2 linked regions of the Drosophila melanogaster genome follow. The gene in region 1 interacts genetically with each later gene. Each region holds a gene or a part of one and is shown in the gene's direction. Other genes may lie near its edges.

The links.
Region 2: of in (region 1) and cmb, changing one enhances a phenotype caused by changing the other (phenotypic enhancement), as found in Drosophila melanogaster (one study listed by BioGRID).

The regions. Positions count from the first base shown.
Region 1 is NT_037436.4:20,363,532-20,371,185, forward strand, and holds in (inturned), read left to right. Parts: upstream 1-3,666; 5' UTR 3,667-3,784; coding exon 3,785-6,394; 3' UTR 6,395-6,728; downstream 6,729-7,654. Other genes in the region: Toll-9, read right to left, coding at 1-594, 810-1,031, 1,135-1,365, 2,093-2,387; CG13247 (uncharacterized protein), read left to right, coding at 6,981-7,218, 7,279-7,654. UniProt on the Drosophila melanogaster protein: Plays a role in the definition of cell polarity via the planar cell polarity (PCP) cascade. Acts downstream of fuz and accumulates asymmetrically in wing cells to regulate planar polarity in the wing. Probably acts by regulating ciliogenesis.
Region 2 is NT_037436.4:13,439,853-13,449,786, forward strand, and holds cmb (combover), read left to right. Parts: upstream 1-2,741; 5' UTR 2,742-2,866; coding exon 2,867-3,136; intron 3,137-3,266; exon of another isoform or gene 3,267-3,447; coding exon 3,448-3,604; intron 3,605-3,836; coding exon 3,837-4,234; intron 4,235-4,360; coding exon 4,361-4,453; intron 4,454-4,515; coding exon 4,516-6,046; intron 6,047-6,156; coding exon of another isoform or gene 6,157-6,159; coding exon 6,160-6,428; intron 6,429-6,489; coding exon 6,490-7,031; coding exon of another isoform or gene 7,032-7,035; exon of another isoform or gene 7,036-7,109; intron 7,110-7,421; coding exon 7,422-8,532; intron 8,533-8,590; coding exon 8,591-9,193; 3' UTR 9,194-9,393; downstream 9,394-9,934. Other genes in the region: CG10140 (uncharacterized protein), read right to left, coding at 1-228, 298-519, 574-583; CG14109 (uncharacterized protein), read left to right, coding at 1,374-1,427, 1,775-2,452; JMJD7 (jumonji domain containing 7), read right to left, coding at 9,457-9,934.

The DNA.
Region 1 (7,654 bases):
ACCACTCTAAATCCTTAATATTCGATCGCTCGAAGTACAAATACTTCAGAGTGTTAGCGATGCCATCGAAGGCGTCGTCGATGATGTTGTAGGATAGGTAGGGGTTTCCGGACAAGTCGAGGCCCTCCAGAACCGTATTCTTGAAGATGGTACTGCTCACCATGGGAATGGCAGTGTAGCACAGACTGAGGAACTTCAGCTTATCCCCCAGATGGGCAAAAGCCACCGCACTATTCCTGGTCATTTTCGAGTGGGAGAGGTCCAGGTAAATCAGTTCCGGCAGATATTTGAACACGTTCTGCTGGATCTTCAGGCCGTATATCAGGCTTAAGGCCATTTCCAGAGTGGGCAACTGCAGTTGGTAGCTATAGGTCAGGAAGTTAGTGAAGGACAGGTCGAGATACTGCACTCCCTGGACGTAGTAGAAAGTGTCGTGGCTTATCGTCATGATCTTGTTGTCCGACATGAAGAGCCTCCGCAGATTGCTGACATTCCGGAACGCCTCCTTGCTCACGTACTCGATGCTGCAGTTGCTGATGTCCAGCTCCACAAGTCGGGGCATCTTTGGAAAAGTGGCCCAGGCTATAGATTGGGCTGGGAAACAGATAAGGAATTCACGTGTTAGAAGTATTTATGGCATGATATTTAAAAATTAAACCCTTCCTCCTTAAGTTACATAGTTAGAACCTTTTAACAGATATGAAACCAGGAATATGGAAATGACGGATATCAAGTTGTGATTAAATGTGGCATGAGGACTTTTAGGAAAACGTCTTTGCTGTGTAATTGTGTTTGCGTTGAGATCTTACATGAACTTCCGTGCTGATCGAACCGATCTTTTAAGACCTTAATAAAGTTCGTATAGTTTCTACCGGTTGTGATTGATTGTCCCATGTTTGTGTTGTTGTTAAAGTATAGATAGCATTCCCGATCATACAGATCGGTGGTATTGTGTAAAAGTAGTAGTTCACAATGGTGTGGTACCGAGTTACTAGCCTCCAAGCGGGACTCGTTTACAAATCGAGCAAAGTCTGAAACGGCGAATGGTAACTGGACATCAGAATACGTGTGCCATTGCGTTTCCGGTTCCCACAACTGACTAAATGGTCAATGATCTAACCCGGCCAAGCTTACCTTCAGCATCTGGAATCAGTTCAGCAAAGTTATTTCCTCGCAGCGATAAAAGCTTCAAGGATTCCCTCATGGAGTAGAGCGTCCTGAACGGAGCTGCAGTCAACGTATTGAATGCGGCCGAGAAGACTTCTGTCCTCCAAATGGTAACCTTCCTCGAAAGTTTCGCTTCTCGGAATAGGTCAGAGTCGTCCTTAAGATTACCGTGGGATAGATCCAAATACAATTTGTGCGCTTTAAATAAGTAATTAAAGGTACGATCAGAACCTATAAATTATAAGTGAATCTACCATATTCAAAAGTGACAGTATCGGATACTATGGGGATAAAGGCTAAGTTCAAAAAGTGCCGGGTGTAAACATTCGAAGAGATACAATTTATTATCGCTAAGATCCATATAGTTGCGAGTGGCTTTGCCAAATCCAGCCCAAGCTACTACACTCAGAGAAAAGACTGTTCTCAACGATCTTGATATGAGATTTTTGATCTTAAAATCTAGCAAGGATCAAATCATGCTCATATCGAGATCGAACCGTTCTCAGATTGCAAATGACTGGTCTCATTTGCCTCTCTCTCTCTCTCTCTCTCTTCCACAATTTTAAACCCGATACTGCTTCCGCCAAAAAATATCAACATTGAGATCGTTTTCGTCTCGAAATCAAGAAGGTTTCTTCTAATGAGCATGATTGATGCCACTGAGTACGCTGAACACAACCGATATCGGTATTTTTTTAAATTTCTCTGGGTGTAGTAATGCAGAGCTTTCACTGATAAGGGGTTCCATAATAATGTTACCGATTCTGGTGGGATTAGGCTAACATCAAAGACCTTCTATAAGCAGTCGATCCGCGTTGCCGGAAGCGTGAAAGTATATGTATATAGTTTCGAGAGCTGTTAACAATGCCCAATCAAACTGAGACTTGGGCAGGGATTTTTATTGGACTTTATTGGATAGGTTTACCGTATTTCTTTGTGCTGTCCCTGAGGGTTCCGTTGGGAAACTGCCACCATATCACCTCGTCCTTGATCAGATCCAGCAGACAACTGTTCCCATCATCCGATTCGTACTTCAACATGAGGGATTTGAGGTCCGTTCTCTCCTTGCTGACCTCTTCGGCCTCTTCGCTGGATGTTGTGGCTGAATCTGGTTCTATTATCAAGCCATCCTGGATCGAAAACTCGGTGTATGCTTCCCTTACGTTTCCAAGGAACAGGCATACTAATACGATCACATCCCATATATATTTTGGACACATATTCACTGAATTGCGCACCTATAGTGCTTGTAATGGGGGATTATAAATAAGATTTGACAGCTGTTTGATTTCACAATCACACAGATAATCGCGTTCTATACAATTTTTAGCCACTCATTCAGTTTCACTGGGTATTCCGAAATCTAAGCCACATTTTGTGATAGTTAACCGCGGCCGACATTTCCCGCAAATCACTTTATTTGCGGCTGGGCGAAGCACACGCCTTGGATTCGCGCAATGGACTGGCTGGAGGACTCAGCTTGCTCCGATGGTCAGCAGAAATAATAGGTAGCTGCGGTACACATGTGCGGCTAATTCTGCCATGATACGGCTTATCAATTTTGGCAATATCTTCCCTTGAATGGCCCGGGACTATCAGCGTATCGCTTTTTCGGTGGCACTGGGCGTCCCGCTTCACGCCCACGCCATGTTCCTTATCGGATAATTATCTGGACGTCGGAGTACGGCTATTAGGCCCGTACTTCAATGGGATCGGTGCTCCGGATCAACCGATATAGCCACGGCTCGCTTTTGGCCAGCACATAGTGAGTTCAGTGAGACACAATTTTCTATACTACTCGATTGTTTGCAGATAGAAAAGTTTTGATTTACGGCGTCCAGTCCGGAGACCGATATGAAAAAAATCACTTGGAAAATCTTAGATTATCAGACCATCGGCGATACGAAAAGGTGGCCACTAAAACACCCGGGTCCACAAATGCCCAATTAATTATATCAATTCCCTTCATATCATGCATACACAGTTTATTGGCCGTAAAATAATTTATTGGGAGATAGGACTTCAGCGGTAGTCTCCTATGACAAATGATCATCGGATACCCATTGAGGAAGCAACATTTTACTAATCTTCCGCTGATTAACACAATCCTTATGATAGCACACCAATTTTGCTTTAAGTTCCACCAAATCTTCAATGCGACTTTGTGCAGAGTCAGCATATCGCAGACGGAGCTCTATTTTTATAAGGATTTTCCATGATTATTATTTATAACTTAATATCACGCTGAAATCAACTGGTTAGCAGTCCAATCGTTAAATGCGAACACTTATAAAAAGAAAAGAAATTGGTTATTGTATTATGGTAACTATACTTGTCTTAACCCACGGTGGGTTTTGAGTTTCCCCAGCTTGAAAGAGAACCAGATCACAAAGGGAGTGGATCGTTTCCCGCTGGAATTTGAGTGGAGTGGTATTGAGCTGGTCGGAGCCAGAGCTCAATTAGAAACTGGTTTTGAGTGCTGAGATCGGATCTCGGCTTTCAGTCGACATTCAGAGCTGAGCTGAGGCGGTATCAACCGGCGGCAGATAGTTGAGTGTGTACCTGGAATAGTAGGCCACTAATAACTATCCGCCCAGTTAACTATCCCCGGTAAACTATGCGCAAATCGCCGGCCAGCCTGCCGTCGGAGGCCTTCTCCAGTTCGAACTCCTCGCTGAGCAACTCGTACAGCGATGGCAGCGACCTGGCCAACTGGGAGGAGTACGTGTCCACAGACGGCAGTCTCTTCTACATGGAGTATGTGCGATGTGAGAAGACTGGCGTCTCGGCAGAGCGGCGGGTGGAGTTCATGCGTCGATCGCTGCGCCTGGGAAAGAAGTCGTCGCGTCGCCAGCCGCACAGCAATAATCAGAATCAGAGTCAGAACCAAAACCAGTCCCACGGCCCGAGCAGGTTGGATAGCCAGACGGAGCCGCAAGAGTTCCGCTTCTCACAGTTCAAGACGGCTGCCCCCGATCCCAAGAAACTGGATCTGGTGATCACAGCCGCTGATCGCTTCCGTTTCGGACGACGATCCACGGCGGTGGAGTCCATACTGGGCTTCCGGGTCCTGCCCTTTCCGGACCAACCAGAATGCCTGATGGTCGATGGGTTCGTTCACGATGTGAGTGCGCTGCAGCACGGCATCAAGCGGGGAGATTGGTTTAGATCCCTGAATGGCATAGAGGTGTACGCCAGCAATGTGGATGAGTTGCTCAAGCAGTTCGTGGAGCCCACTCAGGTGTGCCTAGGCTTCCAGTCGTGCGGTGCGGCCAGTGCAGTTTCGCCCACCGATCCGGGGTATAATCGAAATGTCCGCGAGGAGCAGGTGTGCAAGGTGGAGAACTTTCCCATGTTCACGGAGAAGTTTGAGCAGATGTTGATAACGGAGGGGAACTTCGGTATTCCCGGTAGTTCCGTGGACATAAGAATGCCCTTTGCTATGCTGCTACTCCCACCGGAGTGCTATCAGCATGAACAGCAACAGGATTCCCTCTACTACTTTCCGGAAATCCCCGACAACTTCCTATTCAAGGCCCGTGGGAGTTTCCTCACCCTGCACGCCGTACTCAGTGAACTGCACACCCAGCCGCTGAGTTCAAGGCTGCTGGTGGATCAGGTGCAATACCACGTCAACTACCGCCAACTGAATGGGTTCCTAGTCCTCTTCGCCTACGCCGGAGGACTCTGCTGTGCGGCGGAGTGCAGCCTGCGATCGGATGAGCTAATCGGATACATACGCTTCTCTCTGCCGGGCTTGGTCCTGGAGAGCTTTAATCAGGAGAGAGAGCCGGGGAATAGTTCGAGACTGAAGCTGTTCCTTCGACACTTTTGCGAAATCCAGAGAACCCGGCTCGTAGCCAGATGCCATGGTCATATTCGTTTCGAGGAGCTCCTGGGCCAATCCCGCAGCCTGCCACTGCCAAAGGAAGCGCAGCTGCGCATCTTTGATGCTCTGAGTGAAATGGAGGCCATGGACTATCGCAACTGGAACGACGAGCCACTCACCACCCATCGCGAGTTCTTCATCTACGGCAGTGCGCTGTACTACGATGGCTTCCTGGTGGCCAGCCTGCTGCCACCGGAAGTGAGGGTGAGTGTAGAAGGATTCCTGCGCTGCCGCGGAATCTTCGAGTTGCTCGGAGCTGCTCCGGGAATCAAAGTTCGCGAGATGTACGTGTGGGAGGAGATAGTGTTGCCCAGTGCCACAGGGCGATATTTCCTTACCATCTGCACCAAGAACCACTTGAGTCTGGCCGTGATCTTGAAGATCTTCGATGCTCCAGACATGGCGCCGGATGCGGTGGTGGGTCCATCGCTCTTTTACATCGAGGAGATTCAAGAGACGCTGGACCACCTAGTACAGTGCGGCATTGAATCCCTGGCCATGTTCTGGTCCGTTTCCAATAAGAGACCCGAGGTGCTGGACGCCACTGCCAGCGAGAGTAGAGATCAGGAGAAGGAGCCGAACAACCGACTGGAGTCCTTCCTCAAGCAGAAGCTAACCGTGCTGAGTCCTTCGGTGGAGGAGGAAGCCCAACTGTGCTCGTCCCTGGGTGGGTCTTCCATACATAGTCTGACTCCCAGTGAGGACGAGTCCTGTCGCAGGCGATTGACCCCCATCCATGGTACTGCCGAGGACTCAGACAGCGGTTCCGACTGGGAGAACTTCGCCGTACAGCATCCACTTCACTATGGACTGAATCTCGGGGCCGAGAGCCACAGTCAGAGCCAAATGACAGAGTCCATGTGGAAGGAGATCAACAACGTGGTGCCGGTCAAGATATCCGCTGGCTGGAAGAATTCCGTTCTGCACTACGTCTACATTGACATAGCCAATGGGTCCTTGTTTGCGCCATTTACCGACAGCTCCGAGAACTCCAACTACCTCTCCGAGATTCGTCAGGCGTGTCACATAATCCACGCCGTGCTGCAGAAATCCAAGCACTATCGCAGGCATCTATCGGAATCCTCGAGAGCACAGACGAACTCGAACGGGCACAGTAGCCACACAGTGTCGCTGGTCAAGGAGCACGGCATGATCCTGGAGGTCAGCACGCAACCCAAGTCGGACGGGCAATCCCAATCCTCGACGAGCAGTCGCTTCGTGGTGGTTGGTCGTCTCTTTCAGTCGCCAGCCAAGGAAGTGTACGTGTGTCACCGGTCCGATGTTCCCCAGAACATAGTCGAAATGGCCTTCCGGTTGTCCTTCTTCTCAATGGGATGACATCTTGGAAGGATACTACCAACTTAGATACTGGCTATGCGTAGAATTCTTGCTATAATATAAACACAAATATTTAAAATGTGGTTTTAACTAAACAAATTACTTTTATATAGGCATTCAAACAATTTTTTAAAATTATATTTAAGAATGCATAATTAATCATTTTCAGCAATTCTATTACGAAAGCATTTGATTTAGGGGAAGTGCAATTTTGTATTTTCAAAATTCGAAAAGCGCAAGCTTGCCAAAACTCTAAGAAATTGAAAAATATGTACATTTCCTCTGAAACGCAGCGAATAAATATGTATGTATGAAGGTATTTCAAGAGGAACACAAACATCGTGCGAATGTGTTTCATTCATTCATAGTTCGTACTAGAGAAGCCATCAAAAGTGTACACTATTTTTAGAGTTTGGTGGGAGGGTCCCATTCTAAAAGTAGTTCCACGCACCAGAAGTCAAAAGACACGCCGACCAATAAATCCACGTGAACGAGTGGCTCAAGGTGGTGCTCCCCAAATTGCCAATTTCCCAAGATTCGTCGACAGTTGTGTTTGGGTGTTTCAACAGAAGAGGATTCTTGGTGGATGGATATGATGACAGCTACGTGGATGCTGTGTCTTGTTCTCTGCTCCACGGCGATGGCGACGGAGGAGGAATCGGGCAGTGGACTGTTCAACGTCACCGGGAATCCCTTGGATACAGAAGCTGCTCCAAAACTGCCCAGCGAAGTGCAGAAAGCTGTTTGCACTGTGACTGCGGGGGAGGTGAAGGCATCTGCCGAGGCTGTCACCACAAAAACCCTTAAGGGAGTGTGTGGATCAGGTGGGTGGTCAGTGGTCTCTTGCCCGTTTGATCTTGAAACTATTTATGCTTTGTGTGCAGATGAAATGAACATGGCCTTCCGAAGTCTGGAGAACAAGCTCTACGAAGAGCTTCGTGTAATGAAACTGATTTTGGTGCACTTAGCCAAGGCGAATGGACTTAAGCTCAATACAGCCTTTTCCCCATCTGTGACCACTCCACCTCCGACTATGAGGCCAATCACTAGCGCTGCGGTGCCGCCAATCTTCAAGCCAATTGATCCTCCCAAGAAGCTTTCCAATTCCACCAATTCGAAAGCCGAAGAGAACGAAGTTGCTCCAGACTTCGGACTTAAGAAGACTCCTACTCTGAAAAACTTGGATTCGAACGCAAATCTTGGAGCTCGTGAAAATGAAGTCGATAAGTTCAATAATACTGTACTGGCCGATCAGGATGT
Region 2 (9,934 bases), 6.9 Mb from region 1:
AGCGATCTGTGGCAGAGTTGTATTGAAGGCCATCCTGGCATTGCCGTAGAACGGGTTTTCCGTAGTAGCACAGCACGTACCTCGTACAGGTTCTCTGGTAACTGAAGGTGCTGAAATTGAAAGCCTCGCAGGTGGGCAGACAATCAGCGTCACCAGGATGTACACAGCTTTGGGTATTTGCATTGAACTCATAAGGCCATTCGCATTGCAGTTCTATGGCTTGTCCAGCTAAATATTATAAATAAACATATTATGATAAAGATTCCAAAATATAAAGATCTTAAGCTCCAAACTCACAGCGACAAAGGTAGTACCTATTACAGTCCCCCACAAATGGTAGAAACACATTATCTGCCACATTTCCGCAGATACTCAAGTTGCCCGTAATTAGACCATATTCCAGACCGGAAGTAGTTGAATCCGTTTCTAGGGTGCTATCTGTTGTTCCAGAAACGTCCAAGTCTTTGGGTCTTGCTCCAAAAACACCGCAAAATATGCAGATAAAGTACCATATTACTTCTGCAAAACAGAAAAATTATAATAGTTTTGTATTCCAACTTCTGAACCGCACACCTCCACTCATTGTCAGATTTTTATTCAACTGAATCTCTTCCCTTGTGAAAATGTACCTTTATAAGGTTCAAGCCTCAGATTATCTTATCACTATATCGATGTAAACATTGCAAACAACTGGCAAATGAATTGGTGGGAAAGGCGATGACTCTTGGAAGTCTAAATTTGGATCACCATATTCACAGCAGGTTCACCTAAATCATCATGCAATTGATGTACATTTACTTTAACACAGGGGTTTATATTTATAACTATATTTTTATGAATTAATTTAAATTTTTTTTTGAAAATGCTTCTGTTACAATTACAACGAAAAAATGTTTTAAGCATGTTTTCAATTTAATTGTTACCTTCCTTTTCTAAACATAAAAAAAGTTTCCTTTGTAGACTTTCATATTAATGTGGAAAAGCTTGTCGGCTGTTTCTAAAAACTCTACACGAACACGAAAACGATTCAAAATATTTTCGTTTTCGGCACATCGTTTCAGTTGAAATTTGGGCATCTCTTTGTGCGCACAGCTCATCGCTCGGAGGATTCGAATATACGATTAAAAGGTAGCATTTTCAAGTATAATATATGTGGTGTATTGTGGTGTACATTTTCATAAGTGCACTTGTTAGTTTTGTCTTCAAAAATGCCAAGATGACTGACACTATTCTAACTGAAAAATAATTTAACAAAGAGCCATTTATTTATAGACAGTGCCTTGCGATGGGCCTTTGTTTGTATTGAGAAAATAATCAACGTGCACGATATACATAACACCAAGTATTCCCTCTTCTCCTCAGGAACCCAGAAAATGGTCAACGAACTGAATAGGCCTCAAAATGGGGACAATGCCGCCTTGAGCGAGGTAAGCTGGAGTCTTCGGGAAATTGCAAAACTCTTAGTATTTAAGTGTTTTAAAACAATAAGAAAACACAGTCAGTAAAGTTAAATAAATACCGTGACACATTCTTTTTAGACAACAAAATGAATGAGTCACACCAATAAGCCTACAGTCTCTAGATGTTTCAGTTGAAATGAAATTTAAGTACGAAGCTTTTTCTATACCAGTGAGCTAAAAAATAGAGTTTTTTAATAATAATATACAAAATCATTTTTCTTTTGATGCCCTAATGTAGTCTTTGAACTATGATGTTTTTAAACCAATTTTTTCATTATTGAAGCTTTCAAAACTAATTATTTGTATTTTTTAAGCGCCTAGCTGCTTCCAACAGACAGCTGCAAGAGATGCAGGAGGAGCACCGCCAGTTGCTTGAGGAGATGGAGACACTGCGCTTACGAGCCGCTGAGCTGACCCTTCTGAATGCCCAGCGCCGACAAGTGCGGCAGTCCACCGAGGAGGAGGAGGTTCAGTCCCACGTTGAATCCTCATCGGAGACAGTAACAGTTGCTTCATCCGCCAGTGCTTCTGGAGAGTTCACAAACCGGGAAGAGGCACCATCTGGTGAGGAAGAGGGCGGGGAGGACAAAGAGGAGCAGGCCAGTTATCTGCAGGAGAAGCTAAACGAGATCGCCAACCTGAAGGCGCAGTTTAAGCGCGTGCAGAACATGGTGGACACCACCAAGATGATCGAGGAGCACATGTCCTCCAGGCAAACGGTACAGGTCCAGAGCTCCACCTCCGTTCAGACCAGCAGGCAGACCACCTCGTCAGAAGTCCGAGTGGCCAGCGAGGCCGTAGAGAGTGCCCAAGAAGAGAATCCATCGACCTCGTCGAGTGCTCCCGATAACGCCGAGCTCCTGAATTCCATGCTTAACATGTTCACGGACTTCACCAGTGATCTACGCGGTCAAGCGGTGGGACTCCGGGCGGAGAGGGATCGGATTCGTGCGCTCAAGGAGGACATCATCCAGCGCAAGCAGGGAAAGTAGGCACGTCCAAACTTGAAAGGGAAAATGGCTCTAGTCATATAATGTTTATTATCCAAGGAACATATTATAAAGTAATCTCCAAATAAATAATTATCCTTAAAAGATATCAAATTACCAAGTAACGTTAGTTTATCTACACCAAAAGCATTTAAAATACTTTTTACAGATATACATTTTATTTTAAACTAAAAATAATATTTATTTTTGAATTTTAGAAAACATTCGATTTCAAAAAACGTCCGCTGCCAGTGTGACCATAACTTGGTAGGCTTGTTAACTAGCTTCCAGCCCTGGTTGGGAACAGCTGTCAGAGTGCGCAAAGCAAAAAAACAAAGTGGGAGTACAAAAAAGAGGAGTTTTTTCAATTTTGTAGCGTCGTTTTTTGTACGCAAATATATATATATATATTTTCTAATGGCGCCGCCGCCCAAGGTAGTTGTGGACCAAGCCAACGCCAGCGCCCGCAGCAATGGCAGCAGCAACAACAACTCGGTGGGCGGGGCAACCGGTGCGGTGCCTAAACAACAAACGCCTGTAAACGGAGCACCCACGTCCGGGTCGAGTGCATCTGTGACATCCAGCCGGTCGGCCCGCTCTCGCCGGCAGCAGGAGCACCTGGGCGAACCGGACATGGAACTTGTCGAGCCAGAGACGCTGCAGCGGGAGACGCTGAAAACTCTGAATGTAAGTTAGACGGACGTCTGGTTGCCATGGCAAATCTTCTCGAAGAGAAGACACCAAGACCTTTCTCTTCTTGGTTTTATAAATACACTTTACACTCATCGCGACCTGCGGAAATTCGTTAGCCGCTGGCTCAGTAGCGAATGCGAACTCAACCACTGCGGACAACGAATTTCGATCGGCCAGAGCAGCGCCCTTATACATATATATATATATATCTGAAATAGATATATATATATAGACCTAAAATCAGCAAAATTACCGCAATCCTCGTGCTGGTTTTCCTGCTAATCTTCATTTACTGTTGCTTAAAGGATCTCCTCCAGCGAGCACGCATCACCAACGCCAAGAATCGATCGCCGGCGGAGCAGCATCTGTCTAGCAAGGATCACAGGTCGCCTGCACAACAGCAACAGCAGCGCGAGGCACTGCGTCAGTTGGCCGCCGAACACGGCAACTACGATACAGCAGGTAATGGGTCCTGAAACCGTTGAGGAATATACACATTTAATTGAGCAATTTCCAATATCCGCACCTGGCAAAGTGATCGGCCTGGCCCACACAGAGATCGGTGCGCCAGTTCATGTTCTATAAATAAGATGCGCACGAAAATAAACGCCCACTGAGATGATGTAGTTCGCAGCGCAGTATTTAGCAATGGACCTAAACATCCATACTGATCTTTGGCTATTTTCCATTACAGAGCAACTGCAGGAACAGCAGCAGCGCTATCGATTCCCCGTCCGTCCTGTCCAGAGGGTTCAGCACCAGCCATCCTCGTCAGCTAATAGCACAGGCGCCCCCTCATCTTCGACGGCTTTGCTGCGTTTGCGTCAATCGACGCCTCCGAATGCCACAGTAGGTGTGGTCATACCGAACGCAACTACCAGCAACGGAAACGGCAATTTGAGTGGCAACGAGGAGCAGGCACCGCCACTGACCCCCGCTGGACTGCAACAACTCGTTCACCGACTTCTTGGTGTACACCATTTTGCTCCCAGAACCGAAGGTTTTCGCTCGCAGGTTGACGTGTTACGCGCCCTGCTAGGATTAGACGAGAACCTGAATAGCAGATATCAACCGAGTAGGAAAGTTGTAGAGGTGAGTTTGAAAGCTTGTGTCAGGAACTTCAAGTGAGCCGTACATTTATAACATTTATAAGATTGATAATAACATTTTTTATATCGTAATAATAAATGAAACTAAATCCTTTAATTCTTGCCCCAGACGAACAACATGGTGCACGAAATCAACCCAAATTCGGATCAGGGTGAAGGCGTAGTCAATTCGACCAGCTTGGAGGATGTTGCATTAAGCGAGGTTAGTTGGTTAATAAAACCAAAAGTCTGCCTTCTAGTACTCAAACCATTTGTACCTTTCAGATGAGCGACAACCGCGCCCAATCCATTCAGTCCCTACACAGCGTCTTGGAAACGCCCACGCCCGATACCACGCCCAGCTTCGATGAGTTGCAGCAGCGCTTGGAAGCCTCCAATAGGAACATGCAGCACCTGCACGACGAACAGGCGAAGCTGTTACAAATCCAAAATTTGGCCAAGACTCACCTTAACGAGATGGAGCGGCTGCGCCAGCAAGCCGATAGCTTACCCCACAATGTCAATGGGGGAGAGGCCCCCAAATACGAGTCCGTGCAGCAGGTACAGGACGACATGGCGTCGCTGGTGGGGCGCATGAAGAATCTCACCGCCTTTATACACAACCAGAACGAACTGAGCACGGTGCTTGGCGATGATGGGCCCGAGATCCTGGCCGAGCAGGAAGCCCTGCAGGAGAAACTGGAATCACTGCGCACCCAACGTGAGGATATGCGCAATCTGGTGGACGAACTAAACAGCATCAACCGTGCGGCCAGGGAGACTGCTAGAGTCATCAAAGAGAAAGAGGAGACTCCCACGCCTCCTCCCAAGCCAGAGGAGGCTGCCCCAGCGGCTCCCAAGGAGCGTGTTGTTCCTGTGGAGTATCAGAGAAACGTACCCATCATACGCCAGGAGGCGGCCAACGCTGCTCAACGGGCACTTCACGCACAGGCAATGATCAACCAGAAGACGGCAGATATAGAAGCACTCAAGGCTCAGATGGCGAGACTAAAGGGAATGCTGTACACTGTTAGCCAGATTGAAGAAAGTACTCCCAGCATGGGCTCCACCTTAGAGCGGCGTAGTGAGGAAAGAACTAGCGTGGAGCGCGAATTGCCGGCCGAGATTGCCCAGCGCGTATTCGCTCTGAACGATGTTACGAGCGAACTGAGAGCGGAAGCAGCAAGCTTGCAAAAGGAGCGTGACCGTATCCTAGCCCTGAAGGCAGAGATTGAGCGACGCAAACAACAGGCGGCCGCCGCTGTTCAAATGGGCGATGATGCACTTAAAAGAAGCAGTCTTACCCCAACACCCACCCCCATGAGACAGCGGATGACCGAGGAAGAGGATCCATCCGAAGTGGATAATTCTCTTCAGGCTACGCCCACCAAGGAACAACTGCGCGATGAACTGCGCTCGCAGTGCGAGCGCCTGCGAACGGAATACGAGCAGAAGCAGCGGGAACTGGAGCAGCGTTACGTAGCCAGTAACAACACCACATCGGAGGCGGATGACGAGGCAAACGACGACACTGACAGCGATAAGTACTTCGCCAACGTACGTACCGCTTCCTCAGCGACCCTAAAGAGGGCTCCATCCGCCAACACAGTGGTGGAGCAACGACGAGGTCAGCAACCTAACGTTCCCCCACAGCAGGCACCACCACCACCGCCGCCTGCTCCTCCGTCGACGCTAAACGAAGATGACCTGAATGTGACACTTGATACGCTATCCCTGGGTAATGACAGCATACCATCCAGCAGCAATAGATCGCAGTACATGCCGCCCCCCATGCAACCAGTGCCTGGAATGTGGGGTACGTTTTTAATTCCACCAACAAAGGCGGAAATTTACCAACTTTACTTTACCAACTTGAATTCATGTATTAGTTTCCTCGTTTTACGCTTATTTTTATGCATCCGCTAGCAGCATCACACAACTCTGGAAGTTCGTGGCATGGACAGCAGCCCGTCTACGGTCAGCCGAGCTCCAGTGCCGGCACAGAGTTTAAAAAGCTGCCAGCCGCCCAACAAGGGGGCTCCTCAAATGGATCCGGATCGAATGCCTCTACCGACGCAGTTCTGCTGCAGCAGTTCATGCAGACGCAGCAAATGCTTATCAACTCTGTGTGCCAGTGCAACCAGGCACTGTGGCATCAACAGCGCGAAATCGACAACCTCAACCACCAGCTACATGCGGTAAGACAATCCATGAGATTAGAGAGCCTAATCAAAGACTAATTCAAGTGTTTTTTCACAGCTCCAGGATCGATTTAATGTTGTAGCATGCCAGGATCACAGCTTCGGCTTGCGCTCGGAATCAGTACCGCCTCCGGTGGGCCCTGGAATGGGTCAGATGCCCAACAATCTGTGCCTGGGCAGCAGTCGAGCTCAATCTGAGCAGCTATTTAACTTTGGTGCCCACCAGAGCGCCTTTAGTAACTATCAGCGCAGCTGTCATCGTAGCGGGGCAGAATCGCATCATCATCAACAGCAGCAGCATCAGGCGCAGCCGTTCCTTAACAATGCTGCTCCCCCGCCACCGCCGACGCACTTCAACAACGAGACACCCCTGTCGCCGCCTACTTACCGCTCAAGTCCAGGTCCCATCTTCATGAACCACCATAACAACACGATACATCAGAACAACTCGAATCTGCGAACCCAGAACCAGCATGCCAACAATCTGCACTCGCTGCCCGAGGGAGCAGCTGGTGGAGGAGCACCTGGTGGCGGTATTACATTGAACAATCAAGTACCACCCGGAAACAGAGCCAACAACTACTGGGACAACTTCCGCAGGTAATGCTTTATAACTTTGGTGTTGGATTTATTAATGGTTGTTTGATGGAAAAGGGTCAAAAGCAATAAAAATTAAATAAAACTATTGTGAAGAGTTAATTTTCAATTCTGTGCACCGGTAAGTGCGACCACGCGTTGCAGATAAGTGTCCCATTAACAGAGTTGAAAGTGACTAACCAAGACTAACTCCAAGTACTGACCAAGTTTTGCAAGTGCCTATTCGGCAGTAAACAAAGCTAATTTATAAAAGATGTGTATTCAATTTAAAAAGGATATATGGAATAGAAAAACTTAACTTAGTAACGCTCACTAGATTTAGCTAGTTTATCAACTGCATGATTCTTTGCTACCCGCTTGCATTAACCCATTAATATCTGTACGCTCTTCCAGCCATTCGCGCCAAAATCTCTTATCAAATAAAAGCAACGAGGAGCTGAACGTGGACCTCCAGCAGTATCGGCGACAACGGGCACGTCCCAGCTACTTTCAGCCGCCCCAGTTGCTTCCGCCTACTACGCGTGGTGGTTTGACCCACCAGCAGCAGCGTCGTCACTTTTTCGAGGCGCCACTAACCGCTTTGCATGGCAGCAGCTCCAATGGCAGCAATAATCTCAACAACAGCGGCAGTTCGGGCAGAAAAAGGGACTGGCGCGATGATGCAGGCCACATTCGCGACCACGACGATGAGGATGTGGACGAGGTGGAGGAGAACCATGATAACGTCATATTCGGCTCGGGTCGACGTCGCAATCGTCGCCGTCCTCAGCTTTCCACGCTGCGGGATGATGAGTCCGAGCAGGCTAGCTCCTCCAATCTCAACATGAACGTAAACTATGGCAACAGTCCGCTGTATCAGCGGAACAAGGTACCAGCAAAGCCCACCACTTCGACTGTGTCGCTTACTCCTCTGCAGCAGCGACATCTTCGTTTCGACTTCGAACTTCCAGCTCACTACATGGACTACATCGAGCTACCCCAGATTACTCCAGTGGACACTACTCCTACGCTCGGACAAGAAGCATCGCCCGCGGACGAATCAAATGCCATGGAGCAAACCGAGGAAACGGCCTCCGAGGAACTGAATCGAAATCTGCTGGTTAACGCTCTGAAGAACGACAAGTTCACCACAAAGTTTTATGAATCAATCAAGGAGGATGTCTACCGCCGGCTGGAGACACTCTTCGAGCAGCAGCAGCAGCAGCAGCAACAACAACAGCAACAAAATCAGCAGCTGCAGCACTCACATGAACCACACGGCTTGCGAAAGGCTCTTAACCAGGAGGAGAACGAACCTACTGGCGACGCCGAGGCCACCGAGAGTCGCAGTGAAACCCCGCTAGAGGTAATGCGTCTGCAGCTAGACAACGATCGGCCCGAGGACGAAAAAGGAACGCCAGTGAAGCAGCTAAGTTTGTCCAATCCACAGAACGGGCAGCACCTGGATGAAATGGAGGACAGTGCTTCTGCTGTTATCTCTTCTCTTAGGACCGAGAACGAAGAGGTAAGAAAGGCTTTCGTAAACTGGATCGATTAACTCATAATTGCGTCTTCCTTACCAGCAAATCCTCGAGGGAAAACTAGAACAAGCCTCTGGCTCGGGATCAGGACCAGGGACCAGCATAGAACTGGCACCGGATCACGAACTAATCGAGTACATTATCAAACGCATTCGCAATCAGACGCACAACAACACCGTCATCAATGACTCCCTACTGGCAGAGGTATCAAAGCTGACGGCCACTGCTGCCCAGAATTCGACCGCCAGCTCGCCACTAATTTCGCCCAAACGCATATATGCCAAGATCAAGAAGATGGACATACCACGACAGCGGGACGAGTTCCTGCTTTGGTACCGTTCTTATTTGGAGCAGCTGTTTGTGGTGGAACAGCCGCAGGATAGCTGCAAGACCAAGTCGAAGGTGACACCTTCTGGAGCCAGTCCGGCCAAGCTGAAGAACCAGCGTGTGCGCAAACAGTCCCAATCCCAGTCGCAGGACTCGAATAACGATGCAGACTTGGCCGAGGCGGACCAAAAGAACGTCTCCTCCGCGGGAAATGGCGAACTGGAGTGCGAGAACAACGAAAATCCCGACGAGGAGGCAGATGGACAGGCTGCAGCGGAGCCTTCCGGCGCAGAAAAACAGGACGTCAGTCTCGAATAGACTAGAGAATAACCCAACAAAGCAAACATTCCTTATTTAAGAAGTCATCATCTGTACGGATATTTCATATTTCATTTACGAATTTCGGAAAAGATAAATCTTTTATGGTCGTGTCCTTAGTCGTAGTTCGCAACTCATTTTGGGTATCAGTTTTTTATTTAACACTAAATTATGTAACAATAATATATATAAATACACTGAAAACAAGAAGGGTTTTGAATTCACCTAACAATCCCTGAGAATAAATACTTCTCCGGATTCTATTAGCCACTCCTTGCGGACGTCATCTGCTCCAGCATGCGGTAGTAGCAGTACCGGCTATCGTAGTCCAGATCGTACCAGAAGTTCACGGCGATGCACTTGTGGCTTTGGGACACATGGTGGAACCAGTAGTTGGGCAGGTATAGGATGTCTCCCGCGTGAACACGTACTTTCAGAGGCTTGGCCCGGGCGTACTCCGGATATTTGGCCAGGTCGGGTGACAAGGGATCAACGCTGACCCATTCTGTGAACTGATCGCTGCCTTCCTCATCCCTCAACGGTTCAATGTAGAACTGACCACTATCTGAGGTCTTGTAAACGCCTGTAGGGTAAATTCCTCGCGGTACGCAGCTAAGCTGGTGCGGCGGGATGAGAACGAAGTCCTTGTGACCGGATATCACGCAGTACACGTTCTCGTATGGATCCTTGTGCATGGAGGTAACGGCGCGCTCGTCGCCCAGCCAAAAGTTAACAGCATCA